Danio rerio: one gene and its partner. The protein of the gene in region 1 interacts with the protein of each later gene in a biochemical or structural test. Links are inferred from orthologs where the notes say so. Each region holds a gene or a part of one and is shown in the gene's direction. Other genes may lie near its edges.

Region 1 (17,404 bases):
ATAATTCTGACTTTAACTGTATATATCGTGATCGTGATTTTTTCGAAAGTATTTCAGCAGTTTGTAAACGTTTATTATTACCATTTGATAAGTCTCTCTACAGTTTGATTGAGCACCCGAAAGCCACTTCGCATGACATCACACTTAACAAGCGGATATGTAAATCAAAAACAGATGTTTTATTTCACCTATATTGAAAGAGATTGAACCAATCTCACTAGGAAGCTTGACTATTTTGCTTATTGTCAGGAAAGTGACTGATTTGTATGAATTCATATGACTTCATTCACATAAAAACATGATTTTTTTAAAGGAGACGTGACTCCAGAACGTTAGCCCTCATTGGGGGTTGAGCAAATCATGCTAAAATGTATGAATGAGATTGTACAAATTAATACAAATTAGCCACTAAATAACAAAATTACAAAGATTCCAATGGGGTGATCATTTCAACACTGCAGCTGGAATTGCTCACTAGTTTATCTCTGGACAGGGCAAAGATTTGAATCTCAACGTTTATTTATTGTCCATCCTAACACCATTCCAGAATCTATTGCTATATTCATAGCAAGAACCAGTTAATAACCTGCATGTCTTTCTGCAGTGTGTTTTTTTTTCTAAGTAGGATGCAATCCTGGAGTAACATCTATGTTGCTCCTGAAACATCACTCCAGGTTCGAAAATATAATCCATACCTACTGTAATCCTAACCATAACTGTAAATCATCCCCCAAATCAGAGGGGATTGATAGTTGGATAACAATGATATAGAGGCACTTAACCCTAACTGTAAGCCTAAATTTAACATAAACTGTAATCTTATCCCTTAAATCTGATTGGCTGATTGGAATGTTGTTCCAGGATCAACATAGATGTTGATCCAGGAACATGTCCTACTTGCTAAAATCACACTAACCATCTTTTGGCTGTAGGAGGAAACCCAGTGAATACAGGGAGAACACAGAAAGGCTTCTTTGTGGCATTCGTCTGATTCATCATCTAAACAGCTTTGCCCAGGACAGTTTTGTGAAAAGAACTGGACCAAAGTTTACTTTACTAATGAAAGCAAGTTTATTCTATCTGGGTCCGATAGGAAACATAATTCTTGTCATCTAAAGTGTGGAAGAGACTCGTAAAAGATCACACCAGAGCAGTGTTTAAGACTAGTCATTCAAGTCAATGAAGTCATTCAAGTCAATTGTTCTCTATTATTGACCTCCACAGTATATGTTTGTCAAATATATGCTATAAAAATAGTCCCTGACAGTGACAGTAAGCAGCAGTGTGTAATACGACTCTGCTAGAGCTCAAATAAAAACGTAGACTTGAACAGTTCTCATGTTCTGTGTCATTTATTTATTTTTAACACAACATATGGTATTTCCTCACAAACATACGTCTGCTTTTCTCTCAGCAGAGTGCTGTTATAGTTTAAACCAGACCCGGGTCATGGCACAGTGTGAGTTCATCTATAAGACATTTTGTTAAACATGCAGTACTGCACTGTACCTGAAACCAAAAACTTTGAATGTCCTCTGAAGTGCCTTGAAACACTTAACCCCATCTAATGTGTTGATGTAATATCAACTGATACAGGAAGATGGGGGCCATGTTGAGCAGCTCCTCCTTATTATTATTTTTTAATAGGCAGTAGAGTTTTGTTTGTATTAAAGCCCAGCCAGGGCAGTTTAGTTCAGCCACATCTAACTGCTTATCACAGCCACAGTCTAACAGTATAGTGCTGAGTTTGTCTATGAATTGTGTAAAATTCAAATGGGTTTGATATGCTTTGTGGGAACAAGTGACCATAATCAGCTACAGCTTTAATGGAACGTTCCACTTTTTTGTAAATACACTAATTTTACAAGTTTTCTACAGTTGTATCTTCTTTAATCCATTTAACCAATTTCCGGATCTGACAGGAGCACTTTTAGCTGAGCTTAGTATAAATCATTGAAGCAGAATAAACCTTTAGCTTCTCATTCAACAATTTAATTCATTTTTTTGGGCTTAGTCCCTTTATTCATTGGGGGTCACCAGAGTGGAATGAATCGCCAACTTATCCTGCATATGTTTTAAACAGCGGATGCCCTTCAAGCTGCAACCCAATACTAGGAAATACCCACATACTCATATACTATGACCAATTTAGTCTATACAATTCACCTATACCACATGTCTTTGGACTGTAGGAAACCAGAGCACCTGGAGGAAACCCATGTGAACACAAGGAGAGCTTACAAACTCCACACAGAAATGCCAACTGGCCCATCCGGGACTTGAACCAGCAACCTTCTCACTGTGAGGAGACAGTGCTAGCCATTGAGCAACCGTGTTAACCGTGATGTCAGTTGGAATATCTGATAAGAACCTGTAAAGTGCAGAGTGATGCCATCAAAACACTGATTCATATTGGTGAAAGTGAAAGACTGCAAATTTTGAAATCACATACTGTATCTTCTAAAGGCAACTTTTATCTCCGTTTTGGAACACACTAGCTAACCTTAAAATCCATGTGAAAATAAAAACATACCACACATTGTTATTCATTTGGTGAACAATTAATGTGAAAGTTAATCCACTGAAAAGAAATGTCCATTTGCTAGTGCATTTGGTGTGGAAGTTTTTCTCTGCTGACATTAGTTTGACTAGTCACAATATTTTTACCATACCCCTTGTACGGTTAGTTTGCTATGAGGCAGTGATTAGCAAAAATATAGCCCCGCCCCTCATGACTATTTTGTTTCAGATGGAAGTACATCCCTACTGAAATAAAAGCCTCAGCAATATTTTTGATTCAAGCTGACTTTAACAGTAACATATTATACAGTCAACAGTACGAGTGCCATCCCTCATCCCTGCCATTCACCTGGGCTGGGTCCGAAACCGCCTACTACTCAGTAGGTACTGCATTAGAATCTAAACGTACTACTCAGCCGTTAGAAAAGTAAGTTCTATACAGTATGAATGTGAAAAGTATGAATGGAATTCAGACGTACTACATTCGCCATTTTGTCATAGTCACATGATCTACCTGTCAATTGTGTCGCTTCACTCCCATTTATAAATTCACTCGCAGGGCAGCAAGCATGGGATGCGCACTCCAGAATCTCACAGGAATTAGTAAGTCATCCGGGTACTTCTCGCATTCTTATTTTCGATTCTATGAATTCGGACATACTACTCGACTTGCATACTAATTTTAGCGTACTATATAGTATGGAAGTATGTGGTTTCGGACGCAGCCCTGGACTACACCTCCCACTATGCATTACACCAGTAACCCAGCTACAGCTGTGACCCATCTGACTCTGATTAAACTACACCTGTGGGAATGTATGACACGCATATAAGCACCACATTCACACACATTCAGTGCTTAGTATCGTTTTTCAGTTGTGGATATTGCCCTGCCTGTTTTGTTCCTTGTTTTATGTTTGTTTTCTTCCTGCCCTGACCTTCACTTCTTTATTGGACTATTCTGAGTGAGTGAGTGCTTTTTCTTTGTTGTTTACATTTAAATACAAATGTTCTTAATATTTAGAAAATCCCATAACCCATTTATAGCTATTACACCAAAAATACCTTTTCATGGGAAAAATGGTAGCAGTGTTCATTATTATTTTAAAACAAAATACTACGACAGTGTTTCTGATATTACATGTCAGTACTTTTACATCTTGTATTTCACTAGGTTATAAATGTGTAATCTTACTGAACTATCAAAACGTGTTTATAAAATGTACTGATTACTAGGACTGTACGATATTGGAAAAATCTGACATTGCAATATTTACTTTTTCTGCAATATATATTGCAATATACTTTGTTATACTTGGATGGAATTTTTCGTCACAATTTTATTTTAAGTTTCAGTTCTCACTCTTAGCAAACTGTTTTGACTTTTGCTTAAATAAACTCCTAATTTGCTCCTTTTTAACAGTTATTAATGTAGTTTAGGTATTGGGTAGGATTACGGATGTAGAATAAGATCATACAGAACAGTGCTTTAAAAGTAATAATAATAGTACTGCCAAGATTAATAGTGATAATTGGTCCCTAAAGTGTTACTAAATGTATTAATTTTGATTGACTGGGATGATTTAAATCTGAAAACTGGATTGACACATTTTCAGGTTACCTAAACTTCTAAGCTGCTTTGACACAATCTACATTGTAAAAGCGCTATATAAATAAACACGAGTTAAATTGAATATTGGGTTACGTTTTACATTGTTGTTTGTCATTCTATATATCATTCTTTCATTAAAGCTGCTTTGGAAATGTCACCTTTAATTCATAACAAGTATACTAATCCAAGAAAAAACTATATTTTTATTTCAAAGATGATTTAAAGGTAAATGAAGCCAACTGTCATAGTCATGATGGTGTCACTTGTATATTAATAAGTGAATATTTAACTATTTGCAACACATTTTGCTGAAAAGCATGATGTATACTGTACCACAGAGACACACTGGCGCAGTAATACCGATTTAATGAGGCCATGGGTATATATGTGGAATGATTTACAGCAGCTGGCTTAACTAATTTGTGCTAGTGTGTAGGATATAAATCCATTTTAATGTTTGTACATTTTGTTCTATTGGCACAATCATTGGGCATATTCGAGAACCATTCAAAATCATTTTGTTTCCCTCAAGGTTATATTTGCCTTGTTGAACTTGTTCAGCACTTTTATTTCACATTTGACAGTTCAATATTGAATAAAAAAAAACAAAAAAAAACAATGAATGTGTTTATCTCAGAGTCTGGAATGATGCAAAATCACAAGATGATGTTGAAGAATGGGAAAATAGCAACATGTTATTTTTTTTTTATAATTCAAAATGACTCCTGGCTACTGGCTCATTGAGAAATATGGGTAAATAACAGGGTGAAGTGGAGTTCGGCTGTCACATTTAAGTTATATGTTAGAATGACAAGTATAGTGAAACTCTGTTGTTTGTTATAATAAAAGCATAAAATATCAATCATTCTATTTTTGAAAGCCAATACAAATATTGGATATCAGTGGAGCAGATTAGGAAAGATACAAAGCCTCTCACAGACATTAATGACAAACAAATGCTTAAAACAATACTACCACTATCCACTCATTTATGTTTAATAGTTCTTTGTTCTCAGACAAAATCAAAGTATGATGCAGATGAGGCTAATCTTGCTGGTTCCAAAGCTAATTACCCCACGATGTGCTTGTCAAAATCAGTGATAACTGTGAAATAAATCAAACCAATGTGCATGGTTTATGAAAAGGAAAGTACAGCAGACCTACAACCCCCTGCTAAATCATTCACCTATCACCTCATGCTGTAAACATTATTGCTATCATGAGATAAGGTGATGTGTAATTATCTTTTATACCTCTTTTTGCATCTGGAAATACACAGCCTGTGTTCTTTTCTTTTTTTGTGTGCTAATAACATTCCATGAAGTTCTGTGAAAATCTAAATGTTTTAGTTTGTGTTGCAAATTCGCCATTGACAGATCAGCATTATCACACAAAGAGGAGCCTGTATTGAATCTGCAGTCTAATAAATCAATTAGATCGCCCTACTTATCATTATACAGTTTGTTATGGGCAATTCACAGTTTCTTCTGACAAGCCACGTGTCACCCCGTGGCACTTGTAACCTCTTTTGTGCGTCTCAGGTATGACTAGCATTATTGCTGTTGATGTTGTTACCTCCCTGTCCCCGCCCAGGCTCGCTCGTCGTTCCGCATGACCCGCGCGCAGGCTACAAGGTAGAAAACAAGGCTGGCCCTTTAAGACGGCAGTGATCGCTCCGCAGGCGACCGTTCGGCGTTATTATCGAGCTCCAAGACTATACAACACACATGAGATAGATGGACTTATAACAATGGAATATCACTGCGTTCTGTTTACTGTTTTGTTGCAGTTAATCATCCAACCAGGTAGGGCGGCTGTTATCTTTTTTTTGCTTTTTTTATGGTCTTACTTTGTTCCCCAAGCTTAAAGATAAACTAGAAGTTGTTCAGTGAGGAGTAGGGATGTGCACTTGCTGAGAAGAGAGCCTTGCTGAGTTACTACCGAAGCAAAACGGATTACTTTCTGAGAATAATGTATGGACCTGTTGCTTCTACTCATGATTCATTATTAAAGCAGTTTAATATTAATCTACACACTGTTCTGTCTTTCATTATAATTTAATTGTGTGTCAAGACGGGGCTTTCATGCTGGTCTGTCAGTCCAGAGCTCTCCCATTCTCTGAAAACTAAAATCTAAACAGCTTGTGAGAGTTTCCACTGATCATCCCTGTGAATCATATCCTCTTCACTTACCGTGCAGAGACTCTATATATCAGGAATTTAAGCAGTTACAGGAACCGCTCATTGAAACAAGATATTGATCCGGAGAGCGGCAGGTGAGAATGTAAAGTAAAGCCGATCCGCGCGCTGCTCTCAATTATTCATCACTCAGGCTCGAGCGCGCGCGCGTCTCCGCAACAAGTGGAGGAATATGAAGCCTGTTTCAGCTGGAGAGGGACGTGAAGGAAAGAGTTTAGACGCTAAAACAATTACACAAGTTTATTTTTTAGATAAAATGGCACGGTGAGCGATGAACGCATTGTCGCTTGAAAGCATTGGAAAGCTTTTGAACAAATGTTTTTTTACTAGGCGTTTAGTTATACATGCTGCTACAAATTACATTTTAAAAAGTCGACAAAAGTAGACATTTGCGAACAGAAATCGCGGTCATCTGAGGAGGTAGCCATAGCAACAGTGTCCAGCTTCAGCACTTTAGGTCCAGTAACATTAACTAAACACGTACTGTGTTTAAAACACTTTATTTTGTCAAGAATTAACATAAAGTTTGTTGTGCAATGCCTTTGAAGAACAATTTTGATTGTTCAAAATTAATTTAATTTAATGACATAACACTGAGTGGACATGTTTTAAAACGAAGAACGTTTAAAACATGTAAATAACTTGTTTTTTCCACTATAAAAACATTTTGTGGGAAATAAAGGTTTCATGGCTGTTAAACTTTCTAAGAACGTTGATATCAATAATGTTAAGGAATGGGCAGCATATATGACCAGAAATAAACACGAGTTTTAAAAGATATCTAAAGATAAAATTACACCTTAAGGTTAAAGTTTGTTGGAGTTTTCAAAAATGCCTTAATGTGTTTGCATTTTTGGTTAATTTTATTATTGTTCCTTTAGTCTGGACAAAGGTTGTATGTAAATGATCTGGAATTCCTTGTTTTATCCCAAAAGCCATTGAAGATGTTTTGCATGCTTCACCCTGACTTTTTTTTTTTTTTTTTTTTTTTTTTGCTTTGGCTCGCTGGCACCTCATGGACGTATCAGATGGTCTTTTGTACTGCTCAGATAAGCCCTTATGGATGTTCTAAAAGATGAGGGGCAAGTCTGGACTGCATCTGTTAACTGACCACTGCGTATCATGTGTTCAGACTTTTATCCCAGTGTAACTCGTGCTTTTAAACAAAGATACTTTTTGTCTTAGTTAGTTTTCAACTGCTGTTTTTCATGTGGTGAATTTACGTTTCAAGTAAGAATCTGTTGTGATGCTTTGCTTAAATTTCACGAACGCGCTTTTAGAGAGGCTTACCTGTAGAATCGTGGCAATCAGAGCCGTGGTATGAAGGACTTCATTCAATTCAAATGATCAGGTTTAGAGCGAGCGTGGACAATGCAGAACACATGCACACGCATTTAGTGTGGTTTTGGCATGAATCTGAAAATCAGCTTTGCAACGCCAGAGGGCTTCAGCGCTCAATTGACTACTTTGCATCGGGTTCTTTTAAACCGATAACGCTACGGGCTTTCGGATAACAGCCATGAGAAGTCGTTCACATGGAACAAATGTGCATAATTATTTAATGCCCTGATATAAACCGTTTGAGCATAATAATTATATTCATAACTAAGCCTTTTGGTGTTGCATGTATTAATTGGTTCTGCATGTAGGCTGGTGCCTCTAGTGACTAACGATGGTATCACAAGTCCCTATGAATAAATGAAAGATCTGTTTGCATCTGGGACTAAATGTTACTGATCTTGCAGGCTATCATATTTATCAAGCATCATTAGCTTATAGTGAACACTCAGCTCCTTTACATCACCTCTGTTCAGCAACTCATAATGCTGTCGTAATGGTGTAATTAAGATAAAAAAAAAACTCTCTGCATGGTTTAACCAATGAGGTGACAAGGTGATAATCTGCTTTACTAGTGTTACTCTCAGAGTTGTATTTCTCTCATTCTTATATGTCTATGTGGTGTTGGTGTTTGGAGCTTTGCGGAAGACAAGTAAACATGGAACGGTTGTGCTTAGGTTTTTCTCTGGAAGGACACCTGACTTTGCAGATGCTGTTTTCTTGGCACAGAGTGACAGTTTGCACTGAGGCAAGCAGCTAATCAGGCTAAACCACAGCTTCTATATTTTTATCATGTTATCTCATTTTAACTTGAGGCAACCATGGGGGCCGTAGCGTACCCCCTACCTCCTTTCTCACATTCTCAGAAATCAAGACTGAAATAAGCAGATGCAAAAAGTAATGTTTTATTGAACATTTATTGAAGATACTTCCATTCATACCATTCATACATACCTTTATTTTTAAGTTGCTTCTGCATCTAAACATTAACTTAGGAGTCATTAATATGATTATCTATCAATCTAAGCTAACTACAGAAAACAATCACGGCTTAATGCACAGAATTTATTAGCTATACCACAAACCATTCTTACACTTCGATACCATAATCTTTGATTTATACACACTACAGTGTATTGGGGTCATTTTGTTTGTTTGTTTGTTTGTTTGTTTTTTGTTTTTTTAATGATTCTGTTTATTAAGGTGGCATTTATTAAATGTAAAAAAATGTTAAATTGTTAAATATTAATTAAAAATTTAAATACATGCTTTCTTATTGTATGTAGTTTCAAGTGATTTTTTATTACTATCACAATTAATAATAATAATAATAATAATAATAATAATAATAATAATAATATTAGAGTTATTTTTAAAGGATCATGTGACTCTAAAGACTGGAGTAATGAAGCTGAAAATTCATCATTTAAATCACTGAAATCGATAATTAAATTATTTATATAAATATTTTATTTGTATAGGCGACGCAAGGTGGCACAATGGGTTGCGCTCTCGTCTCACAGCAAGAAGGTCGCAGGTTCGAGCCTCTGCTGAGTCAGTTGGCATTTCTGTGCATGTTCTCCCCATGTTTGTGTGGGTTTCATATATATATATAACTCATTTCTAATAACTGATTTATTGATTTTATCTTTTTCATGTTGACAGTAAATAATATTTTACTAAAAGGTTTTCAAGACACTTCTATGCAGCAACTAGGTTAGTTAGGTTCACTAGGCAGGTTAGTGTAATTAGGCAAGTTATTGTATAACACTAGTTTGTATTGTAGATTATTGAAAAAAATATATAGCTTAAAGGAGCGAACAATTTTGAATGTTAAAACTTAAAATGTTTTTTCAAAATAAAAACCGCTTTTATTCTAGCCGAAATAAAACAAATAAGACTTTCTCCAGAAGAAAAAAATATTATCAGGCATACTGTAAAAATTTAATTGCTCTGTTAAACAACATTTAGGAAATATTTAAAAAGGAAAAAAAAAATTCAAAGGGGGGCTAATAATTCTGATTTTAACTGTATATTAATTCATTCTCTTTTCGGTTTAGTTCCATTATTATTCTGGGGTCGCCACAGTGGAATGAACCGCCAACTTATCCAGCATATGTTTTACGCAGAAAATCTGCATAAACATCCATACACACTCATTCACACACATACACTACAGATAATTTAGCTTACCCAATTCTTCTTTACCACATGTCTTTGGACTAGTGAGGGAAACCGGAGGAAACCCACGGGAACACGGGGAGAACATGCAAACTCCTGGCAAAAATGCCAACTGACCGAGCCAAGACTCGAATCAGCGACCTTCTTGCAGTGAGGCGATTGTGCTACCCACTGCGCCACCGTGTCACCCTATTTTAAATAAAAGTAACTAAAATTGAAATATATATATATATATATATATATATATATATATATATATATATATATATATATATATATATATATATATATATATATATATATATATATATATATACTTTTATCTAAAATTAGAAAGAAATGACTAACTTAACATTTTACATTTTACTTAACATATTTCCACATATTTAAAACATATTTTTCCACAAAAAAAATAGAGAAAGAGAGAGAGAAATTTATTTATTTATTTTTTATCAAGAGCTCCAGTGGTTTTAGAGTACTATCTTGAGTATTTTTCTTTAAAAAGTTGCTATAGCAACTGCGGAGAGTAAATATTTTCCCTCCAAAAAATAAGTCCTTTTTGCTTTATCGGTGTGTTTGTTAAGAAAAAAATATAATTTATATAAACAGCTGCAAATTTTATTTCCATGTTACAAAGAAATGCTTTTTTTTTTTTAGTTTGACTGTTTTCCTTTGTTTCTTTGCAGTTTTTAAAATGCATTTTCACCATGTTCTCAGTCTGTTGGAGAAGTGCAAGATGACTACACCTTTATTTGTTTAAAACTCTAAAGCTTAAATTAAAGGTTGCATCTGTATAATAAATTGCAGCAATGATTGGAGCGTTGTGTGTAAAAAGATGCTATACTTCAATCAAGAATCTAAGATAAGATGAGCGAAACTAGATGAGCAGCTGTTCAACTGTCTGAAATTGCCATTTCTAGAGAAATTTATTTGAGGAACACGGTATAGACATTTTGAATTGAAATTGTGAAACTGTCCAATACACACCCAAAACTGCCATTTATGCAAGGGCTTTGGTTTGTGTGTTGGTTTGTATGTCTGTGTGTGTAAAATATGTACGTACTTGTCTATCCTCTTGTATGTTCATCAAATGTTAAACATTCTCGTTTCCTCTCAGGCAGGTCGAGGCCTACCATTACCCCAGAAGGTCCCCGGCTAACAGTACCACTGTACAGCAACTTCAGTTTGCATTGCCAGAGTAACAGTACAGTGCGCTGGCAGCATGAAAACCGTCCCATGCGTACCCTGAAGGAGGAACAAAGACAGGGTCAACAGACAATTCTTAAAGTAAACAGAGCCGGCCCTCAACACTTGGGCAAATATTCGTGTAGAGAGGAGAAGACTGGTGAAAAGAGCTCAATCTATGTGTATGTGAAAGGTAAGTGCATCTTTTATAGAGCGTGTTTTAATTGGGTGTAATAAATTGTCTGGGCTGAGTGACATGTCTGTAGGGCAATATTTAAGGAATTCTGAACCCTCCTTTACTGTATGTAATTTAGCATCTGCCTTGTTTGTTATACCTGCATGATTGTTGCTACCACATTTTTATGTGTTCGCAAACCTGCATGCCACAGTTTGAATAGATACTAGTAGAGATACTGTACAGACCAGTGGCAAAGGCAAAAACTGAGTGAACAAACTCTCAAATTAAATAAATTAAAATTTAAATTCTAACAAATAAAGATGTCATTATTGGTTGTATTTATCACAACAGTTTGTAGAAAAAAACTCAGTGGTAGAGATCAAACAGTACCATACATGTAAACTCTATATATATTTGGACCAATCAAACTTTATTAAACAGTATTAGATCAGGTATATTTGAATCAGGCAGTCTTGATTTAAACAACCTCAATATAGGACATCTGGGATCCCTTTACAGCACTATAATGAAGATGATATACTGCAGTGTTTTCCACCATAATGTGAAAATGTTGAGATACTCAACCAATGGACCCTATTCACAAGACTGCTATGATGAGTTTAACAATCATCATAATCTTAAAGCCTTGAAGGTTTATATTTATATTTTTAAAAAAACGTATAAACATATCTATCCATTTATGAATGTATATCATCTTTGCGTCAAATTAGAAAAAACTAATTCCTGCTCGTTTGAGGTGTTTTTAATGCAGTGTCTATGGGGCTGAGAGTAATTTTGATGTTATTCTCTCTTCTCATTGCCGTCATCAGTCTGACATGTTTTTTTTCCCTTTTTCTGAAAGTCTGGATAACACCATGGTGGAGTTTTTCATTTATTATTTCAACAAATAGGACTGAATAAAATTTGTTGTACTCTCCCATTCACTGCACTCTTAAGTTTATTTAGCTATGACGCCTTCCGCTAGTGAGAAACCCGGAAATGTGATAAGGGTCTATTGGATCGGGGTGGAATGTTATAGTGGGAGGAATGATGAGATTGGATCAGATCAGCTTGTTTGACATTCTAGCTTTAGCATAACTGGAGGATGCAAATGAAAGGATTATTACTTCTTACAATTGCTATGCAGGGTTTTTATTTTCTTCCACAAAAATCAGTAAATAAATTGTGTTTCATTTGTTTGGATTGAGAAACTGTATTAGGAATTAGGTATGGTCATTTTGCAAGATACCAATAAAATAACCAATATTTCTTTTTATTTAGAAATCAAATCAGGTCTTGATATAAAACCTGGTTAGAAAACCAAGCAAACAGATACAATTCTCAAATTCAGTTTTTCTTACAAAATCATTCCATGTAATAGACACCGATTAAATCGCTTATGGCTCGCAAGACATGTCTTTAACACTGGAACCGCCATGGGGTCAATTTTACCCATAACTGTTATTCAAATGTACATAACAGACATTCAAGCCTCCCAGTCATTGACCTTTACTAAAATTGCCTTATTTACAATTCCCAGATATTAAAAATTGTTTGGATAAAAAAGATTAAAAAGTGGGACATTTATACCTATACGCACCAGCGTGGGTTAAATTTAACCACTATAGAAAAATGTTTGTATTTAGGCACTGCTTATGTTTAAAATTACTCACCAATGACTTTTACTTTCAGTTTTACTGAATTAATGGATATAATAAATGAATAAAGTCACAATGACTAAAAGAAGATGGTTTGTTGAGCTATTAAAAACAAAAAAATGCAACAAATGAGGCAGTCTAGAGAAATAAGTTATGCATCAGAGTATGATGGCTGCAATTTAGAAATTTTAACCTACTCATAACCTACTCTAAAAATAATTTTCATTCATTCATTTATTCATTCATTCATTCGTTCATTCATTCATTCATTCATTCATTCATTCATTCATTCATTCATTCATGCATTCATTCATTCATTCATTCGTTCATTCATTCATTCATTTTCTTTTTGGCCTAGTCCCTTTATTTATCTGGGGTCGCCACAGCAGAATGAATGGCCAACTTATCCAGCATGTTTTACGCAGAACTGATGCCCTTCCAGCTTCAACCCATCACTTGGAAATAAAATAATCATTTCCTGAGTCTAGACACTTTTTGTTAACAGCGGCGAAAAACTGGGAAATAGTATGTTTTTTTTTTTTTTTTAGCAATTTCTAAATATAATTTACCTACACTGGCGATTTTAGGAATACATTGACCTCCGGCGGTTCTAGTGTTAAGGCAGGGGTGCCCAAACTTTTTATTATGAAGAGCCAAAGGTAAATGTAGCTGCCATGGGCACTTCCTAATTTATTTAACAATATTTAAAAATAACTAGAAAGCACTGCTTTGTATTAACTAATGCAGTATTCAATTTTGTTTTTACATTTTTATCATGAATTTATTACAGTAAAAAAAAGATTTAATTTATAACAGATTGGATTTATGCTAGTCAACTGTTCCTGATTTTGCCTTTATTTGCTCGAAGATGTCTTCTACTGTACATTGTTCTCGATCTGTTGAGTGACAATATTTATATTTTTACAAAGTAAATTAACGTATTTACATTTAACATTTAAATGAAACATTCAATTTCAGTTGGCTTTTATTTTGTAGCTCAGCAATAAAACAAACAAACAAAAAATATAATTATCAACTAGAAATAAAAATCTCATTCGCCCTTGCCCATCATTTGTACTCCTTTCTCGGATATGATGGTGCGCCATATCAAACGTTAAAATGGGCCATTATTTGCCTGCGGGCCCTAATTTGGGCATCTCTATTTTAAGGGATAGTTCACTCAATAATGAAAATTTACCAATAATTTACCTACCTTCAAGTGGTTCAAAGTGTCTTTCTTTTGACAAACACAAAAGAAGATGTTTTAAAAAACAATTGACATCCATTGTAAGAAAAGCAAATACTATGAAAACCAATGATTACAGGTTTCCAACATGTTTCAAAATAACTTCTTTTGTGTTTAACAGAAGAAACTATCTCATAAACAGGTTTGAAACAAGTAAAGGGTGAGTAAATGATGACAGAATTGTAATTTTTGGGTGAAATATCCCTTTCAGTAAATCAAATGGCAGAAATAATATATGATTTATTGGTCAATGATTGTTCTTAACCATCCATTATTAATCATTTATTGGCTTATACCGATATAGCCAGCAATTAATTGTGCATTATTAGTCAATATAAGTGCCACTCTGAGCCTTATAAACAGTAGGCTCACCACTTGTATAGAAAATACAGTTGCTCCATTACATGTGTTTTTCATGTACTTGTTCTAACTGTTTATGTTCTTTATCTTTATATCTTCCTCCCTAACTCTCCCTTTCTTTCTCCTACGAACACATGCTCAAGCATCTCTCATCTTCCTATATCATTCCATATACACCCACAGATGCCTCAAATACCAACCTTCAGCCCTCTTTGTTTACTTGTTACCTGCATGACCTGCATGTCATTCTGTGCCATGTGATTTTTCAAGCATGTTCTTATAATCCAACTTAACGAACACTTAAACTCAGTCCTTGGCAGATTTGTTTTTCCAAGTGTAAACACTGTTGGTGTGGGTTGCTTGTATTTGTTTGTTAGGTATGATGGAGGGTTGTTTTTCACTTTCTCTCTTTCTCTGAGCTGTAAAGTCTTGATCTAAGCCCCCTTGGTTGTGTTTCATTGGTTTTTGATTTAGCATTCCTCTCAGCAGATCCTGAAAATCCCTTCAGGAGGACCATCGTGTTCGACATTGTTGCGGCAGAAGGAGATACGACGGTGATCCCATGCTTGGCAACAGACCCAGATATGAAAAACTTGAACCTGCAGAAATGTGACGGACAGCCCCTTCCCAACAGTCTGCGATATTCAGCCAGTCTTGAGACAGGAGTGTCCGTGGAAAAAGTCAGGAAGGAATTTGAGGGATGTTACGTCTGCGTCGGAACTTTGGATGCCGCTACGGTTAAATCAGGAAGATATCAACTTACTGTTCGGCTTGGTGAGAGACAAAAATGGAGATATGCATGAATATTAGAGCTGTCAATTTAGTCTGAAGTGTAGTTAAGAAAGACAAATATATATATATATATATATATATATATATATATATATATATATATATATATATATATATATATATATATATATATATATATATACAGTTGAAGTCAGAATTATTAGCCCCCATGTTTTTTTTTTTCACCAATTTCTGTTTAACGGAGAGAATATTTTTTCAGTACATTTCTAAACATTATATTTTTAATAACTTATTTCTAATAACTGATTTATTTTACTAGCCAAAATAAAACAAATAAGAGTAACTCCAGAAGGAAAAATATTATCAGACATATTGTAAATATAAAAAAATTGTAATGGTCAATAAATCTGACTTCAACTGTATATATATATATATATATATATATATATATATATATATATATATATATATATATATATATATATATATATATATATACTTTTGATATTTAAAATAATGCTGCATAATAATAAAATACAGTAATTTAATTGCCAAGAAAGCCTTTAATTGATCAAGAGTGACAGGAAATATCTAAATCTGCCTAAGTTTAAAATAAATTTTCCCTTTAGCTTTTTGCTCAACCTTAAAAAACAGCATCACAGTTTCAAGAAGAATATATAGAAGCTCACTTGTTTTATGCATTGACTACAATAAATAGCAAATCAGGATTTTATCAATATTTCTGAAAAATCATGACAATGAAGATTAGTGTAATTATGATAAAAACTCAGCCATCACAGAAATTCAATAACATTTTTAAATGCATTTAAATAGAAATGGTCAATTGTATTAATATTTCACAATACTCCTGTTTTTAATGTATTTTTGATCAAATAAATGCAGCCTTGGTAAGCGTTCTTAAAAGAAAAAAGTAATTTTGTTCACAATTATACTTTTATTTTTGAGGACTATAACATTATTTATTTAATACAGACCATCTCATTGATTGCCAGCACTAATAAACATAACAAGAGTACACATACAGACACCAGACAAATGCATGTCCATGTAACCCCACTGTAGCTTGCTCTTCCTTTCCCACACGTTCCTGCTGCTTTGATACAATGCATCATAGCTCTTTGCTTTTAGTTCCAGACGCACCTCCTCCGATCACACTGGGTCAGCCTCAAAGAGTGTTGCTCACCCAGGGGGAAAAACTCTCCCTATCCTGCTCCACCTCAAATGTCAACAGCGACATCGCAGTCAAGTGGAAGGCTCCAAACGGAGTGGTAAGATCACCAACCAACCAGCTCTCACCTGTTTACCTGAGCACACTATGGCCACAACACACTCATATATAAACTGTACATACTGCAGGCTTTAGTAAACACCGCACCTGTCAAAGAAATCCACTGTTTTCCAAAGCATACTTATAGAAAGCATACAGAAGGTATGAGTGCACAAGGAAGTTTGTGTACCCATGATCAGTTGAGTGTTTGTACACTGAGGATGACAGTTTAAATTTTGTTTGTACTTAATATTTTGTCAAAATGAACGATGTGCAATTTGAAAGGCTCCTTTGAATTTTATATGATCAAGGTTTATAGATAGGGTAACACTTTATTTTGATGGTCCATTTGAGTATCAGTAGACTGTCTGCTTATAATCTGTTGATACTGCTCCTTCGACAGACATTTAACCGACTATAAGAAACTTTGCAAGTACATGTCAACTTACACTAGCCCTAAACTCAACCTAACAGTCTACTTAAAATTTTATGAGAATTAGTTTGCATGTAGATGCAATGTAACTTAAATTCAACAAACGGACTATCAAAATAAAGTGATCAAATATAGTTGTTCGCACACAGTTCAGCTAAAGTCTGTGTGAAATCAAAATGTACATTGTTATTCTTTGGGTGAATGTTTGTTAGTTAGTCCACTGAATAGAAATGGTTTTGGTCATTTTCAATCAAAGTCTCCCCAGGAGCTACTATGTTTTGAGTGAAGTATTTTTCTGTTGATGTCAGTATTCTTGACCACACCACTCTTACCATTAGTTTGCTATGAGGGAATAATGTGCAAAAAGAAATTCACACCTCCTACTTACTATTCAATTGAAAGTACATCAACAAACATTTAACTTTAAAGTGTAACCCTTCTGGTTCAACATCTT
Region 2 (17,404 bases), on another chromosome or scaffold:
ATCTGAGGTCACATCCTTCAAAACCAGTCATATATATATATATATATATATATATCTATATATATATATATATATATATATATATATATATATATATATATATATATATATATATATATATATAAATATAAATATATATATATAAATATATATATATATTCCATTGTATTTCATAAATGTTTAGGGCAAAATCCTGTCAGAGTTTATGCATTTCCATAATGGCCCATCTGCTCAACCACCAGCATGTTTAGCTTTCAGTGAACGCTCACTGCTCAACATCCAATCCCCTCACCCGGTCTAATGACCCTGACATTTTAATCATATACCTTTCATTCCTTTGCTATTCTGCATTTTATGTTGTTGCTAACAGCCTGCAGGCTCTTGTTTTTTAAGTTGTTTTCTGTTTGTGCTGTTGAAGGACATAAACCTTTTTTCCTCCCTCTCTCTCCCTCTATCTTTGGGCCCATAGAGAGGGTGACTGGTGGGAGGCTCGCTCCATCAACACGGGCCAGAAGGGCTACATTCCCAGCAATTACGTGGCCCCTGCAGACTCCATCCAGGCGGAAGAGTAAGTAACTCCTCTCCTCCTGTGCTCATCCAGTCATCTTATCCCTTCACGCCGTAATTAAGAGAGCGTGATGGCCGGTCACACGAACGCCCAGAGCCCTGGTGCTGACAAACACACCAAGAAACGCGTGACTGACTGTCAGACAAAAGACTCTCTTTCAGTTACAAACTTTACGTCTGACTCTCTGCTGTACTTCTTCTTTCATACTGGTCTGTTCTCTAGCTCCATTTATCCATGTTCTCCTATATCTCTTTGTAAAAGCTTTGTTTTTATTTTGTTCTTTGTAGATTTATCAATTAATTTATTTTCTATCAATTAACCTCACTTGTTGCTATGGTGACCAAAATTAAATAATTTTTTTTTATGTTTGCATCAGTATGTTTGTTTAAATGATATGTATAAGCTAGTGTGCTCCAAAACAATGACAAAAACACGTTTAGCTTAGTTTATTTATTCATAAAGTACAATAAAACAACTGTTCGTCACCTTAGAATTATAAGGTTCTAACTGACAATTTTTGTCAAAATTGAGTTATTGAAATATTCTTACTAAATGTAAGCTTATTTACATTATGGGATGTTTTTTATAAGTTGTTTACATTTTAAGATTTTTTATTTAAAAAAAAACTAATGTTACACACATACTGTTTAATATGGAATGCAAAAACTTTGAATCCCAATATCTCTGCATTTTGGATCACTTGAAAATTCCATTTATATGAGATTGGCCAATACCCACATAAATTGCGTTACAGTAGTCCAAGCGTAAAAAGCCTTTCACTTTGGCTGATAATCTCAACTGGAAAAACAAGATTTAACTACTGCATTTACCTGTTTATCAAACAAAAGCAGAATCAAGGATAAAACCTAGATTTCTTAGAGATGGTTTAATGTAATCGGATAAATTGTCCAACATTTGATTCGGCTTTTGCTTCTTCTTGTTTAGTTTTAAGAAATTCTTTGAAAATTTAGAAGAAGACGCTTTAATGGTTAAATAATTTTTTGACATCACATCATTTTTCAGTTTCTCATCAAATCTTCTGACTAATCAAATGCTCTTTAACATCTGAAATGTCCTTTCAAGAGGCTTTTCATTTACTTCTTATTTGATGTGGTTTATCTCAGTCACTAACTGGCAGAGCTATTATAAAAACGAAATGCTGTTGACTGTTTTTTATAAAGGGGTCTTAATGTTTCAATAGAGATTACGGGACATTTCAAATAAAAATACACATTTCAAAGCACTTCACAGGATGTAAACATGAAGTAAACTTCAAGTTCAGCTAATTTCCCATGTACAGAGGTAGAGGCCAGTGGAACACTATGTAGGGACTGGAACATGTCCATCTTAGCACAGTTTCTTGTTGGAGCTCTCTTCTAATCAGGTGTGTTAAGCAAAAGAGGTATGCAAAATAATCGGCAAGAACCAGGATTGACAACCACTGCTTTAAGGTGTTTAGTTTTATGTATGTATTCACAATTGTTCTGTTTTGTGGAGATTAAACGTATTGACATAGCACAGTCAATTTAGGTATACACATTCTTACATATATAGAGGTTGTACTAAAACAGGGGTGCACAAACTCGGTCCTGAAGGGCCGGTGTCTTGCATAGTTTAGCTGCAACATCCGTCAACACACCAGACTAGAAGTTTCTAGTATAACTAGAAAAGAGCTTGATTAGCTGGTTCAGGTGTGTCTAATTGGAGTTGGAACCAAACTCTCTGCAGGACACCAGCCCTCCACGACCAAGTTTGGCTATGTTGCAATGAAAAAGATGCAATAAATAAGTTTTTATTATGGGTATCACTAATATAACAATGTAGATTTAATTTCAGTTCATTTCTGTAAATCATTTCCATTGAATTCAGTTGGTGTCTTTTTAAAATATATTTTAATGTTGCACCAAAAAAATACAGTAAGAAGTATTGAAGTAAATCCTTTATGAAGACTTCATATATCAAATAAAAGTATAAATGAGTTTTAAAAATGAATGATCAAAATGGTTGGTCCACCACATTCCAAACCAATTTAAGATGGCTGACCAATATATTTATCTTTACCTCACAGATGGTACTTTGGGAAAATGGGTCGTAAAGATGCTGAGCGACTGCTGCTTCTTCCCGGAAACCAACGGGGCACCTTTTTAGTCCGAGAAAGTGAGACCACTAAAGGTAAGTAGACCGCAATTCATCTTAAGACATGTGCAACCAAAGCAGAGTTATTTTTAATCCATTCCTCACTCTCCTGGCAGGAGCTTACTCTCTCTCAATACGAGACTGGGATGAGATGAAGGGAGACAACGTGAAACACTACAAAATCCGAAAGCTTGACAGCGGAGGCTATTACATCACCACAAGGGCTCAGTTTGACACCCTACAGAAACTGGTGAAGCATTACACAGGTTAGCATGTTCAGCTGTGCCAACATTTTGAGTCATACTGAAGTTATATAATATTATGGGTTCAATTGTGTATTGTCTTCAAACGTTTTAGGTCAGTAAAATGTACATATTTAAAAATAAAAAGGTGCTATGATACTTTAAGGCTGTCAAAAATAGCTTTCATTTCGGTTAAATTTTTCAATTTAACATGTAAAAGTGTTACACAGCATGCAGTTTTTGTATTTTTTGCATAATTAGATTTTTTTTGTCTTTATAGTAACTATATAGTAATTATAAACGACAAATTTTTCTCCTCAGTAGGTCATGGATAAAATACGGTAATTCTTATGGTTTAATAAAAATAAATAGATTTTTGGAAATCACCAGGCAACCCCCTTCATTGTCAGGCGACCCCTCGGGGGGTCCCGACCCTCACTTTGAGAACCACTGATCTAAGGGTTTGCAAAAAAGGACCTGAAATCCTGGGCCCTACGTACATACTTAAGGAAAGGAGTTCAGATTTAATAAAAAAAAAAGTATCAACTTTTGCCCTTGACCAACAAAAAATTAAGAAGTCACATCTTCTATTAAATAAGAGATTAATTCTACTCCAAATATTTTTCTTCTACAAATGCAATGCATAAAATCACCATATAATCAGATCTTTAATGTTTACACTAGAAGTTTTAGTTGTGTTGTAAAAGTTAAACTTGAAAAGTTAAATCATTCTATAAATCCATCAAAAATCATTGTAATATGTTAATGTGGTGCTCAAGAAATTTGAAAAACTTATCAGTTAAAAACTTTATTCCTAATATATTTGTGTAAACATTTTGCTTAATTTGAAAAATAATAGGAAGCTCAAAAAAACTGCATTTATTTAAAATAAAATCATTTGTAATTATTTATATAGGTCACTTTGCATCTTAGCAGATTTAAAGGGCACTTATTTTACCCGTTTTTAAGATTTAAGAAGTCTTTTGTGTCTCCAGAGTATGTCTGTAAAGTTTTAACTCAAACCACCCATCAGATTGTTTATTAAACCTTTCAGAATATTAGAATTTTCTGCTTGAATACCTTGTAGCTGTTTTTGGTGCCTGTGCTAGTTCTCCCCGCCCATCGTTCCCAATTGCCTGTCAGAGTGTACCTCAATCTCCACCTTGGTTGCGTCAGATAAACAGCACAGTGACAGACATGAAGCAGATCTCACTTAACGTTTGTGAGAAATACTACAGTAAGAACTTTCCCAATGATTATTTAATGTATTTGTTTTGGAGTTAATTCAAGCCTTTTCGCAACGGTGAGTCACAACGATGTCATCACCAAGTTACACACAGCACGCGCATTTAACTGGCACGTTTTTGATAGGATAAACATTAATATCCACTGCTCAGTTATGTTAATGTACAAAATAAACATCATTTAACATCCACAAACCAGGCTTGAAGCATCTTCTTTTGTAATTGTACTGACGGATAAAGACGGTAAAATCGCCGTAATTCATTACAAACTTGAACTGTTTTAAAAACATTTTAGCTTGTAAAATTTATTCTTGATCGCATTTGATGATGATTGATGATCACAGAGAGCTCAACAAATCTTTTAATCCCAGTTGCTTTGCACACGTTCTGTCTTGTTGATATGATATTACTACATATATGCTTTACTACGGATATGCGTTACACTACAAATCGGTAGGTGGGGAAACTGCACTCCTATGCCATGTTGTTGTGGGCCTCAAAATGGGAGGCATTTGGATCCAATTTTATTTAAAAAAAATGTATTCATCAGGAAATAAAACAAAAAAAGAGACTTATTGTCTTTAAATCACTCCAATATGACTGTAAACACACTCTACCTACACACACAAAGTTGATTGTCATCATAGGTGCCCTTTAAAAAAATTGACCCAAAATGTGAGGGGTAGTCCTAGGGAAACAATAGTTTGTTGTACTTTCTTTCAGTTCAAATGTACATTAATAGTTTAATACAAACAATGACATGGCCAGAGGCGTTGTGTGGAGTACAGAAGTGTCATGGTGATTTGAAGCCTAGGGTTCTCGCTGTGACTAGCGCTAACAGGTGCCTGACATCTGCTGAGAGAAACATGTCCCCGTTCACCCAGACTGTCAGTTAATCTTGGCTTAGTTTACACAGGAGAATGTCTGAGAGGCCTTCTGACATCCACACCTCTTTGATCTTATGAGACGTTACGTGAGTGTCCTACCTGCGCTTTTGTAGATCACGTCAGTCACCTTCAAGCACTAGCCATTTAGTTTGAGTTAAGCAATCTGATGGTAAAGTATGTGGCATCATTTTAATCAACATTTTTAGCTTTTTTTGCCACACTTATTTTATTTTATTTTTTTTTAACTTTTGTTTTTTATTCGTTTTAACATAACGGAACAAACAGATCACCAGAGGCATCACATACAATTATTACATTCTTCTTATACAGTCGTTTTTATAGTACAGGTTACTCTCCCATCAGCCCCCACCCTAACCCGTCAGTAAAAGGTACTGTGTTATAAGCATAAACACCAACATAGTTTCCTTCAAGTCCATATGATTCAGTCTTTTATTTGCCACACTTATTGCTAGCATGTCAATAGAGTTTATAGATGCATCGCAATCTGAATACGTATGCACTATTGTATTCTGTCTTTTTTGAATACTTACTGTAAATGAGGAAAGGAAAGGAAGACATGCACTTTAAATGACCTGAAAGTGCTAAACTTTATCAGGGTATATGCAGGGTCTTAAAAAGTCTTACATTTTAGGCCTCAAGTCTTAAATCCACTGAAATATTGTGTTGTACATTTTAAATAATTTTTAGCGTGTCTTAATTTTCCTATGTCCGTTGTAAAGCTACGCCTACCCATCCAATCAGTATTGATATATTTCAATAAAAGCTTTAAGAAAGGTTTATTTATTAATTGTTTACTTATTAATATGGCCTAATTATCTTCCTTACAATAACATTTCTTTTTAAATTTGTTTTTCAGGTTTTAACTTGGCCATTTAATAATCTTTAGCGTTTTAGCACCTTGTTTAAGCCTGCATTTTCAATCATTATGGTCTTAAAATGGTCTTAAAAAAGGTTTTAAAAGTCTTAAATTTAACTTTAAACCTGTAGAAATCATGTTTATTAAATGGGAAAATGTGTAAAATGATGGACAATTTATACACAAAATACCTTTAAGTTTATACACTAGATAGTTGACTGATTATTGTATCTACATAGCATGTAGTACGTCATTTGTTACTCTCCTAATCATACAGCCTTACCATCTCCTTAGACAAACATTTACAGTAGAACAGTGTGTACCTATTCTGTTCTAGCATTACAATGCACCACCTACAAAGGGACGTCAGTATAGAAATGGTTGGAAGACTTTAAATAGAAGTTCTTCAACGCCCCCAAGTTAAGTTTTTTTTTCCTTTTCTGTACTCAGTTTCTCTTAAAATGTTTCCCTCCATCTTGTTATTAAACTCAAAAATACATCCTACCTTGAGCATGTTATGGAATGGTATTGTACTGCTTTTAATTAAAATAAATCCTAATTTTTTTGATAAATAGAGAGTTTAATTTTATATCTATTTTGATCAATTTAATGCATTCTTGGTGGTTATAATCTGTATAAAGGGGGTCCGGGTCACTTTTAATGTCTATATATTTTAATTAAATAAAAAATCGATAAATTGTTTCTGTCAGGCATTTCACACAAACTGTCGCAGAGGGCCTGTGAAAGTAACAAATTTGCTGTTCAGATTCGTCTTATCTGAAGAATGTCAAGGCGTAATGAAAGGCCATCAGTCCTTGTCTAGCACTCGCTATGCAACCTGCTTCGTAAAGGTTTTAATCTTGTTGTTGAAAGACAGTGACTAATGGGCTTTAAAGCTGGATAAGTGATGAATTAATGACTTTTACCCTTACCAGGTCATTTAGTAGCCTTGCTTTTTTATGATCTCCTATTGTGTGAAATTTGTGAACATAACACACACCTTGTTTAATTCAGAACATCTCATTTTACTTTTACTACTTTATGAGATTTGACTTGACAATTCTGTGTTGTCTACAATTGGGTATAATTTACCTTACTGGCTTAAGGGAAACTACTACTCTCATTTACCTAGTTTTATGAGAGCTCACTCTGACATCACTGTGTTGTGTGTGTTTGTAGAGCATGCAGATGGGCTGTGTTATCGACTCACTACAGTGTGTCCGACGGTGAAGCCCCAAACTCAGGGTCTGGCTAAAGATGCATGGGAAATACCTCGAGAGTCACTGCGTCTGGAGCTTAAGCTGGGTCAGGGCTGCTTCGGAGAGGTTTGGATGGGTAAGACATGCAAATACAGCTAGAGAGCTCACATTTTAACTAACATTTTGGTGTTAATAGATGCATCTTAATGTTTTGGGAGATTTGTTTACTAATGATAAATAAAAGTGCCAACTAAGATCTTCCCCTTAGATGAATTACCCTTAGATTGATTAAACTTCAACACTTTTAGAGTGGTGATCTCTTTCTTTTTTTCAGGTTAAGTGAGGTTTGATAATTGAACATTGTTTTTTTGTGCTGGTATCTTGGCTGTTTTAGGCTACTCATGGATAAATATGGCACTATAATATGGAACCAAAAGGTTATGGCAGGTTCTTCTCATTGAGTGATTCACAGAATCATTTATTAAAGTGATTTTTTTTATGCAAGTCACTGGCTGTTTCTCAATTCCATGAATGCAGAGAACAAACTTGCATTCTCAAGGAGACTGTTCTTGCCAGGTTACCTCGGAAGAACGATTTCGGGAGACAGTGAGAACACATCGCTTCCTCTAAGAAATGAGATGCTGCGTTTTTCCTGATGGTCACATGACCTTCATGCATTTTAAAGGAAAATTATTTAAACATTACAGCATTAATACAATGATTTGTTTTTTCCCTTTTAAATATATATAACATGCACAAAACCTTACAAATGTATTTTGCACAATACAAATAAAACCGGTTTTAATATAAAATTTAGCTAATATACATCCTTAATTTGTTTATAACTTTATTAAGAGTTTCATGGTAATGTTTACTTTCACTGTGTCATTTGAGAAAACTTCTGAGATAAATAAATTATATTTCGGAACTTTAATAATAAACATGTATAGAATTCTGTGCTTCCCACCTTCTTTATTCAGGATCAGCTGCAATGACTTCTGGGACTTCTCGGGGGAGTTTTGTGTTCAAGTCAGTGCATCCTCGATATTAAGAAGATATGCGGGAACTCTCACGCATCCTCTGTTCTTGCGGTCTTGGGTTTTAGAACTGAACTTTGGCAGCTGATGTTGGCATTACATGAGAACATAAAGACACAAAACCGGTGAAGAAAGCATATTAAGAAACAACCACCGTCTTCATGAATGAGTGATAGAATTACTGACTTGCTCTGTTTGTTTAAAAACAGGTTCATTCAGGATTAAAACACCACAGTGGTAGTGTTTGGTAGTTGTTCTGCTCTTACTTTGTTTGGGTTTTAAAAAAAACTCATATACAATATGTAAACCCGCTCAGTTTTAACTTCCAGTTTGTTAAACTGCGGAATAAAATCAAAACAACATATGCGATGATGCTCGCTGATATTGGAGAAAACCACACTTTGTGCATGTAATGACTTTTGTATTACCAACACAATCTCACTGCGATTCGAATCACTGATTGATTTAGTGGCTAATTTGTGTGAATATTTACGACCTCATTCGTATAATTTAGTACGATTTGCTCATCTCCAGTGACGGTTGGTTTGTGTTGGGTGTGGCGGCATGCCTCATTTTTAAAATGTGAATTAGCCAGTAAACTGACAAAGCAAAAAATAGTTACTTTCCTTTGTGAGATCAGGCTGGTATTACATGTCTTAACATATTACAAAAAGCAAAACCAATACACTACTTTTTGCTTTCATAACTCATATTATAGTGCCATTTTTATAGACTTCATCATACAGTCAATCCTTTCAAGATGTGTTTGTGTGTTTGTCAGCTCACACATTATTAGAGCCGCAATTACCATAATTATTGTATTCCATAAATATCACACACCCTAATTTCAGTTAATAATTTACAACTATTATTTAGCCAAAGTGCTTTATACATTGTCAGTTCACCAATATTTACACCTGCACAGACTTATAAACATTATAAAGTGTTAGGAGTGACTACAGCATTTAAATACTGAAGTGAATCCCTAAATTACACCATACTGAAACCACAGCAATTATCTGGCATCTCAAGCCTTTGGTATCTGATATTTTTTAACAAAAGTAATATTACATAAACCAAATATTCATTTTGATTTGTAGTTTTAACCAATTTATTGTCAACAGAAGCGTTATACTGTGTTAATGTTTAAGGTTTTACACAGTGTGCTCTTGAAGTGTTGCCATGTCCACTTATTATAAATGTCTTTGGGCTTACTGTTTAGGATACTCACATAAACAGAGTTGATGGAGTTTTGAAAGCAGGAAGGTGCAAGTTATGATACTTTGGTCTTGTCTTCAGAAGAAATCTTTTGTACCTAATTAAGTTTATTATTGTACTGTATTTTTCAAGCAATACCTGGCAACACAAACAAGTCAGGTCTAGTACCTCTTTTTCTGGGACTTTCTTGTATTGTGTGCATGCAAATGGGACACTCTGCTCTAATAAGTGTTTAAATGTAAGTAACAGTTCGTTGTTATGTGCCATACATACTGCATAGTTTCTTTCAGTGTGTTTGTCACAATGCGTTTGTCAGGAGTTAATTCAGTTACTGAATGCGGCTGTCACTCACATAAAATGCTGAACTATACAAACAGACTTGCGCATTAAACTTCAGATTCATTCAAAATTTTCTACATGGCAAAAATACAGCAGAGTTTATATACTAGAGTGAAGTGTAAAAGGGTGTTATTAGGTATTTGTCTGTCATCATCTCTAGTAAACTCGTCCTGCTGCAAGCTCCGGCATGTCACCTCATATCAGCAATGTGAGGAATTTCTCTTATTGTTTGTGTATGTTTGTTTCAACATGCACAATAGCTTCCACATAACCATTCTCTCATGAATTGGCAGTCTGTGCCATGGCTGTTTAAACGGTATTCTCAAAAACAAGGTGTGTGTGTGTGTGTGTGTGTGTGTGTGTGTGTGTGTGTGTGTGTGTGTGTGTGTGTGTGTGTGTGTGTGTGTGTGTGTGTGTGTGTGTGTGTGTGTGTGTGTGTGTGTGTGTGTGTGTGTGTGTGTGTGTGTGTGAGAGAGACTGTATTTGTAAGAGTGTGTGTGTGTGTTTTCCTCAGCCACATTTCTTTATCGTTAGGTTTTTAAATCAAATCATTCCTGATACTTTCGATTTACCAAAGTGCTGCATTTATTTAGGGTTAATTTCTTTTCCCTTTTTCTAGGCACTTGGAATGGCACGACTAAGGTAGCTATTAAGACCCTGAAGCCGGGCACCATGTCTCCCGAAGCCTTCCTGCAGGAGGCCCAGATCATGAAGAAGCTCCGGCATGATAAGCTCGTTCCGCTGTATGCTGTTGTGTCTGAAGAGCCAATTTACATTGTCACTGAATACATGGGCAAAGGTAGCTGACACTCTCTTTCTTTACTTTCTTCATGTGTGTTTATTTATCAGTTCAAGCAATGACACAGCAGCAACTTAATAATATGCAATAGTAATTTGACAAATTGATTTGAAACAGATGAAGTTTGAAACAGATGGCATAGATAGATAACTACATATAGGTTAGCATGTTTCTAGTTTGGATTGGCATGTTTCTTGCTAAGTGGTTTATGGGGTGTTCTTAGTAGTTGCTATAGTGCTGCTAAGTGGTTGCTAGAGTGTTCTAAATGGTTGCTAAGGCCTTGCTAGGGTGTTCTGAGGTGTTGCTAAGATTGTGCCAGGGTGTTCTATGTGGTTGCTAGGCTGTTGCTAAGGCATTGCTGTGGTGTTTTGACTGGTTGTTTAGACGTTGCTAGGCGGTTGCTAGGGTGTTCTGAGTAGTTGCTAGGCAGTTGCTTACATAAATTAGCATGGTTCTAGTATGAATTAGCATGTTGCTAGCATGTTTCTAGCATAAATTAGCATGTTGTTAGCATAGTTCTAATAATAATTAGCATGTTGCTAGCATGTTTCTAGTATGAACTAGCATGTTATTAGCATGAATTTAGTATGAGTCCAACCTTAAGTCACAAAGTTTGGTCCAATGTTAAGTCAGTGGGACTTGTCCAAATTTTCCAGGTCAGTTTTTGGAAAAACGAAAATTGGATCAGTTGAAAAAGATATAGCAACTTAATTCAGTATAGTTTGAAGGTTTGGAGTTGCGTTCCTAACAGTCTTAGAAAAAGAAGACGGAAGAAGAAGAATAAGTTTTGGTAGTATAACAGTATGTTGGCTTTCTCAATTCACCATAATAAAAAAGGGAAGGTTTTTTTAACGTTTTTTGCGTTTTGGAGACATGAAAACAAATTAAAATGGATATTAAGCTGCAAGATGTTCTAAAATTATTGTTTAATGTACTAAATTTATTGTCGCAAGAGTAATGTTAACACCATTACACAAATTATATATTTATTTTATAGATCATATGTTTAAATATAATATTTATGAATCCTACGTTTAGATAAAAAAAAAAAATTCTATTAAATGTGAAATAGTTAAAAAAATTGTTATTATTAAGAGGTGACATACTGCTTTGGTTCAAAAAGTTAAATTGTTTTCTGATATCTGCATGAGTAGGTATATGCCTTAGGTAAGTTCAAACCTTCTCCAGAAATGGTTTTAATTTATATACTCGTTTGTTACCCCCATAAAATGCACCACAATCAGAAAATCCTTATTGACCATATTAGGTTGGTCATGAATGTTAATGAACTCCGCTCTGATGCAGCTCACAGTACCTTTTTCTTTCTCTTTAATGTGTGCAAAATAATCATATTTAATGTTGTGTTTTAGCTACGAAAGGCTGTGCTACATTATATAGTTGGTTTTTAATTAATGTTGTAAATATCTTGTCTTTGTATCATTTAGGCATGGGCCGGTATAAGATTCTGACGGTGTGATAACCTTGGATAAAAATATTTCGATTTCATGGTATTACGGTATTGTGCTCACTGCTCTAAAATATCTTCTTTTTAAATGTCTGGGTAAAAAAACTAAAACTTTTTTCCCTTTAAAAAAAACTCAATATATTCTATTTTTCTTTTAGATTTATGATATTTTGGAGCAGTAAACACGTCAGGCTATATAATTCAAATAAATCATTGATGTTTTCATTTGTTTTAAAAACACAGATTTTTTTTTACAGTTTGAAACGGCATCTTTACATATTTTTTAAAAATAAACAAACCTAAAAAACAACAACAAAAAAAAATGTAAATAAAAAATCTTACATATACATTAGAAGCGTTATTACAGATTTTTCCAAACCACAGTATACCTTAAGAACGGTTATCGTCCCATGCCTAGTGTCATTTATAATACATGTTGGAAAGATCTTCAATCGATACCTCTGTCTTTCAGGGAGCTTGCTGGACTTTTTGAAGGAGGGTGAGGGTAAATACCTCAAATTGCCCCAGCTGGTTGACATGGCTGCCCAGGTAAGAGAGAGAAACCCAAGCACTGTTAACCAGCCAGCTTTGTCGTCCTCTTCCACATTTAGTAACACACACATCCACCCGATTATGAGCAGAACCTGGATGGGCTGCATTCTCCCAGAGCGCCATGGTTTCAGTTTCAGATTCCATCTGCCTGTCATATTTATTTAATATCTGATATGACATCCTGCTGCCCACACATCTCTCTCTGGCTCTATGATCCTCATTTCCCGCCTAATGCCTGGAGCACTTAAACGCCACTCCTGTGGGGCCACTTCACTTAATGTGTCTACTCAATTCTGCTCTGTTCGCTTAAAAAGCTTGCCATTGCTCGCTCACGATCCTCTCTACTGCTCCATCCCTCTCTCTTTCTGGTCTCCCTGAGTCCCTTCACTGCCACTGAGCTTGGCTGAGGCTTCAATCTTCCTCACACATCACAGTTTGCGAGGAGACGCTTATGAAAACCTTTTGGACAGCTTTTAAGTCTGAGATTATTTCTTACGTTCCCTCAAGAATGTTGCTTCCCATTTTTGAGTTCTCCTCTTTTAAGCTTGTTTAGCAACCTGTTTTCATGCTTTAGGGCCTACTCACACTATGCCATCCGTACTGTGCCCAGGCCCGTTTCCTGAATCGTTTGAGAAGTGAGTGCGCTGAATCGGGCTCAAGCACGGTTCACTTTGCCGGCCCTGGCCCGGTTGGAAGAGGTGGGCCTGAGCGCGGTACGTTTGTAGTGTGAGTGCAAAACGCGCCAAAGCCCGAAACTGAAAGCAAGACGTGACTTTTAAGAGACTGTTTCATATGGATTTATTAATAATTCTTACTGTTCAGTGAACGCAAACTGCCGTAGCTTATTAAATACGCAAACCCCTCACTGCACGACAGCTGCGCCTTCAGCAGACCTCCTCATTCCTGCAGCACAAAAGCTTTACGATTGTTTATGAGCCCCAAAAGTGGCGGTTCTGTTCGGCGAAATATCTGACTGCGTGTCACCACATCCCTAAGGACTGTTTGGCAAAATATTTGACTGCATGTCACTGCATATCAAACTGACTGGAACGATATAACTAGAGAAATTTCCACTGTGCTGCTAAGTGAGAACGAGTGAGAGCGCTTCTCACTGAACAGCGCAGCATCGATGACGTAAGCGTGCCCAGGCCCGATTGTGGTGTGAGTGCGGGCCATCGGGGAAGACGGGAGGGGGGAAAAGTGTGCTTTGGCCCGGTTCGAGGCACTGTACCTAGTGTGAGTACGGCCTTGGAGACTTGCCCATCAGCAGCTATTTAGAGTTTTCACATCTGAAAGTTAAAGCACAACATTATTTTTTATGAGATTGATCGTTTGACCTTTAGAAGATACATTTAGGCAAGAAGTCGGAGTATGTTTTCCTAAATTATAATTTATTTTTGCCAAATTCAGATTTTGTGCCTTTTAAAGATTTTCTGGATTGCATTTATTCGGTTCGTTTTATTTTTGTTCTGCTTTCTTTTTTTTTAATAGTTAAATTACATTTTTTAAATCAAAATGCTTCTCTCATTAATTTTAGTAATGAAACATTTTGAAAATGAACATTTTACAGTGACCATTCCCTTTTTATTTCTGTTAAATTAGTCTTTGTTTTTCTCTTTTTCTCAAGTCAACTAATGTTTAAATTATATTTTAGAAATTAAAATGGAAACTAACGTCACACAACTTACAATACAATTTAACATTTTACAGTAGCATTTCTGATTTTTTACAGCAGTGTTATGAGCTCAATCATTATTTTGCCTCATTTTCAATTTTATTTCTGTTAAAATTACATTTTAAACCTTAATTCTTTGGTATTTTTATATTTTATTATTACTGTTAGCTTTTTATGATTATTTTAGTTAATTTCATCAAGTTAAACTTTTATATTGATGATGTGTAATGCCTTTTCTTTCTTGATCACACATGACGATAGCATTTTCAAATAAAATTATGTGAAATTTAAACAAAAAACAATGTCCCTATAGTGAGGTTGACTGGAAAAAACCACACATCACAAAGTGCTTCAGTATGTGTAAACAATTGTGCTATTCATTCACTCCTATTTATTTATTTTTTTTTTTTTTCTAAAATGTAGTCTTTATTGTTATTTGATTTAAGTACAAACTGATTTTAATTTATTCATCGAAAAAATATCCAAAATTAAATGATAATAGGGATCTTAAAAAATGTGACTTTCCTGTGCCACTAAAATATCATTTCCATGACAAGATGTGGAGAGACAGGTTGGCTTTTCTATGGGTTGCTGTGAGTTTCTGGAGGCTTGATTTCCTGTTGTCTTGTCTAGATTGCAGATGGCATGGCCTTCATCGAGAGGATGAACTACATCCATAGAGACCTGAGGGCTGCTAACATCCTGGTGGGAGACAATCTGGTTTGCAAGATTGCTGACTTTGGCCTGGCTAGACTAATCGAAGACAACGAATACACTGCTAGACAAGGTACACGCACAGAAATACCATGTTAGCACTTTCTATAATCAAGCTTGAAGCAATAGTTGCATAAATTCCTGCTCACATTTTGTCTGATTGTGATTTTCTTAAATAATTACTTTAAATTCCAGTCATGCATTGGGCTAAGGGAATGTTAAGTGAATGGATTAATATTTTGATCTCTCTCTATTTGGTAATGTGAGCAGTGCATTCTAATTCTGTATTATCCCCCCCAAAATGATGTGATTGTATCAGTAGATTTATATTCCACTGGGATCAGGTTGTAAATTAAAAGTGCATAAAAATATTAACACTTTTTATAATTAGGCTTGATCATAGGCCTGGTCATAATTCATCAGATGAATATGAATGTAATGAAGATTAAGATGATTGTGAATATTTAAAATAATTAGAATTATTATGCTTTTTCAATTCCAATCATGCATTGCCTTCCTACTAAAAGAATGTCCTGCTATCTCAGCGATGTGTTAGGTGAGCAGTGCATTCTAATGTTGTAATATTATTATTTATTATTTCACATTTAAATAATTACATTACTACAATAGTATTCCACTGCTTTCATGTTAGAAATGAAAAATGAAATGAGGAAGTGGGAACAAAAAATGTGAACACTTTCATAAATATGCACGAAGGGATAATTGCATAATATCCTGGTTATCATTTATCTGATTGTGAATATTTTAAATAATTATAATTACTATGTGCTTTAAATCCCAATCACATATCCAACTGAAATAATTAGAATTTTATGGTAATTTTTGGACTCTCTTCTTGGTTTATCAGAATGCTACGTAAGCAGTGAATTGTTATATTATAATATAACAATAAAAATATCATATTTATTAATTTACTCTGGGTTTAGGTTGTGAATAAACAATAAACCAAGTACATAAAGAAAAAGATTATCTATAATCCTTATATTGTTAATGTTATTATACCTTTGTGCAACTTTTAGTTAAGAGGTCTTAAGGGAAATCAACGTACATGTAACAGTTATACAACAGTTCTTGAATCTAATTCGCTGACAGCTGTGCAATATACTACTATTATCAGCACTTATTTAACCTCTTCACCTATGTGTATCACTCCGCCTGCAGTGAGTGCCAAGTGGAGGACTAAACTCACAACAGTTTGACACTACAATACTGTGGCTGTCGGACCGCATCATGTAGTTTTGAGACTTGTATATAGTGTGTTAAGAATGTAAATATACAAATGTGTTTTATTTGTAAGAATAATTGTGAATGAATAAATATACTTTTTTTGTCAGCCAGAATTGGTAATCTGAAACTCAAACTTTTATGTTCTTAAACATTATTATAAACCAAGTTGAACATTAATTTAAATATTAATATAAACAAGTTGGATTTTAACTCTCAATAGCTAACATTTTTTATGGTTAATAAAAGGAAATGAAAAATATGCAGAATGCAAGTCTGGAAAAATGCTACTACTGGCAACAAAGCCATTGTGCAGGAAATTACAAGGCAATCAGCATATAATCATGCACACTTACTGTCTGAATGCATTATCTCCCAGAATGCATTGTGATTGAAGAAATAGTTGACTCGCCATTACCTGCATGAATGGTGATTTTTCCCAGCAGGGAATTTTGACAGCACAAAGACCTCTGAGAAGTAAAGTGAAAAAAAAGACATCCCATACCACAACCTCAGTACTTTTTTATTTGTAGATGTTTATTAATGATCTTTTAATAAATGATGAATAGAATGGCTCATTTTCTTTCAGCTGTGTAAAAATTATGCTTTTTGCTACGTCAGTGGCAAGTAAGGTTCATTTTTCCCTACTTGTATCCACTGATTTAAGTAGTGTTGAAGTAGACTGAATGTTTTAGAATGCTGAGATTTGCTTTGCTTTAGTAATAGGCATCAAGTCTGCTGCAGTAATTAAAGATTGTGTGCCATTGTTCCTCTAGGAGCCAAGTTTCCCATTAAGTGGACTGCGCCAGAAGCAGCTCTGTACGGCCGATTCACTATTAAATCTGACGTCTGGTCCTTCGGGATTCTGCTGACAGAGCTGGTCACCAAGGGCAGAGTGCCATATCCAGGTGAGAAATACTACAATTCAGCAGGGATTCTGTGTTTTGTTTTTGCTGTTTCTTTCACTTGTTCGTGATCACATTTTTTTCACGTTTGAGATGGAATTATAGGATTTATTTAAAGAGATAGTTTACCCTTGTTAGTGTTTTCAACATTTACTTCTAATGAAATTTCCACAAAACATTTATTTCTTTTAAAAAAACTTTTTGCTTCTTTGAGAGTTCATGTAACCAAAAGATCATAAACAATCAACTATCAGAGGAGATTTCATCTACTTTAGATTTTATTTATGTTAGTAGTAGTCATG

Evidence for each region.
Region 2: the proteins of kita (region 1) and yes1 form a complex in vitro, tested with the Homo sapiens proteins (2 studies listed by BioGRID and IntAct, with this or other methods). The link is inferred for Danio rerio from reciprocal best matches to the Homo sapiens genes KIT and YES1.

What each region holds. Positions count from the first base shown.
Region 1 is NC_133195.1:24,916,356-24,933,759, reverse strand, and holds the start of kita (mast/stem cell growth factor receptor kita), read left to right. Parts: upstream 1-5,797; 5' UTR 5,798-5,882; coding exon 5,883-5,937; intron 5,938-10,966; coding exon 10,967-11,227; intron 11,228-14,950; coding exon 14,951-15,250; intron 15,251-16,378; coding exon 16,379-16,518; intron 16,519-17,404. UniProt on the Homo sapiens protein: Tyrosine-protein kinase that acts as a cell-surface receptor for the cytokine KITLG/SCF and plays an essential role in the regulation of cell survival and proliferation, hematopoiesis, stem cell maintenance, gametogenesis, mast cell development, migration and function, and in melanogenesis.
Region 2 is NC_133177.1:34,303,741-34,321,144, forward strand, and holds part of yes1 (tyrosine-protein kinase yes), read left to right. Parts: intron 1-469; coding exon 470-568; intron 569-2,636; coding exon 2,637-2,740; intron 2,741-2,820; coding exon 2,821-2,970; intron 2,971-7,133; coding exon 7,134-7,289; intron 7,290-10,366; coding exon 10,367-10,546; intron 10,547-12,483; coding exon 12,484-12,560; intron 12,561-14,871; coding exon 14,872-15,025; intron 15,026-16,973; coding exon 16,974-17,105; intron 17,106-17,404. UniProt on the Homo sapiens protein: Non-receptor protein tyrosine kinase that is involved in the regulation of cell growth and survival, apoptosis, cell-cell adhesion, cytoskeleton remodeling, and differentiation.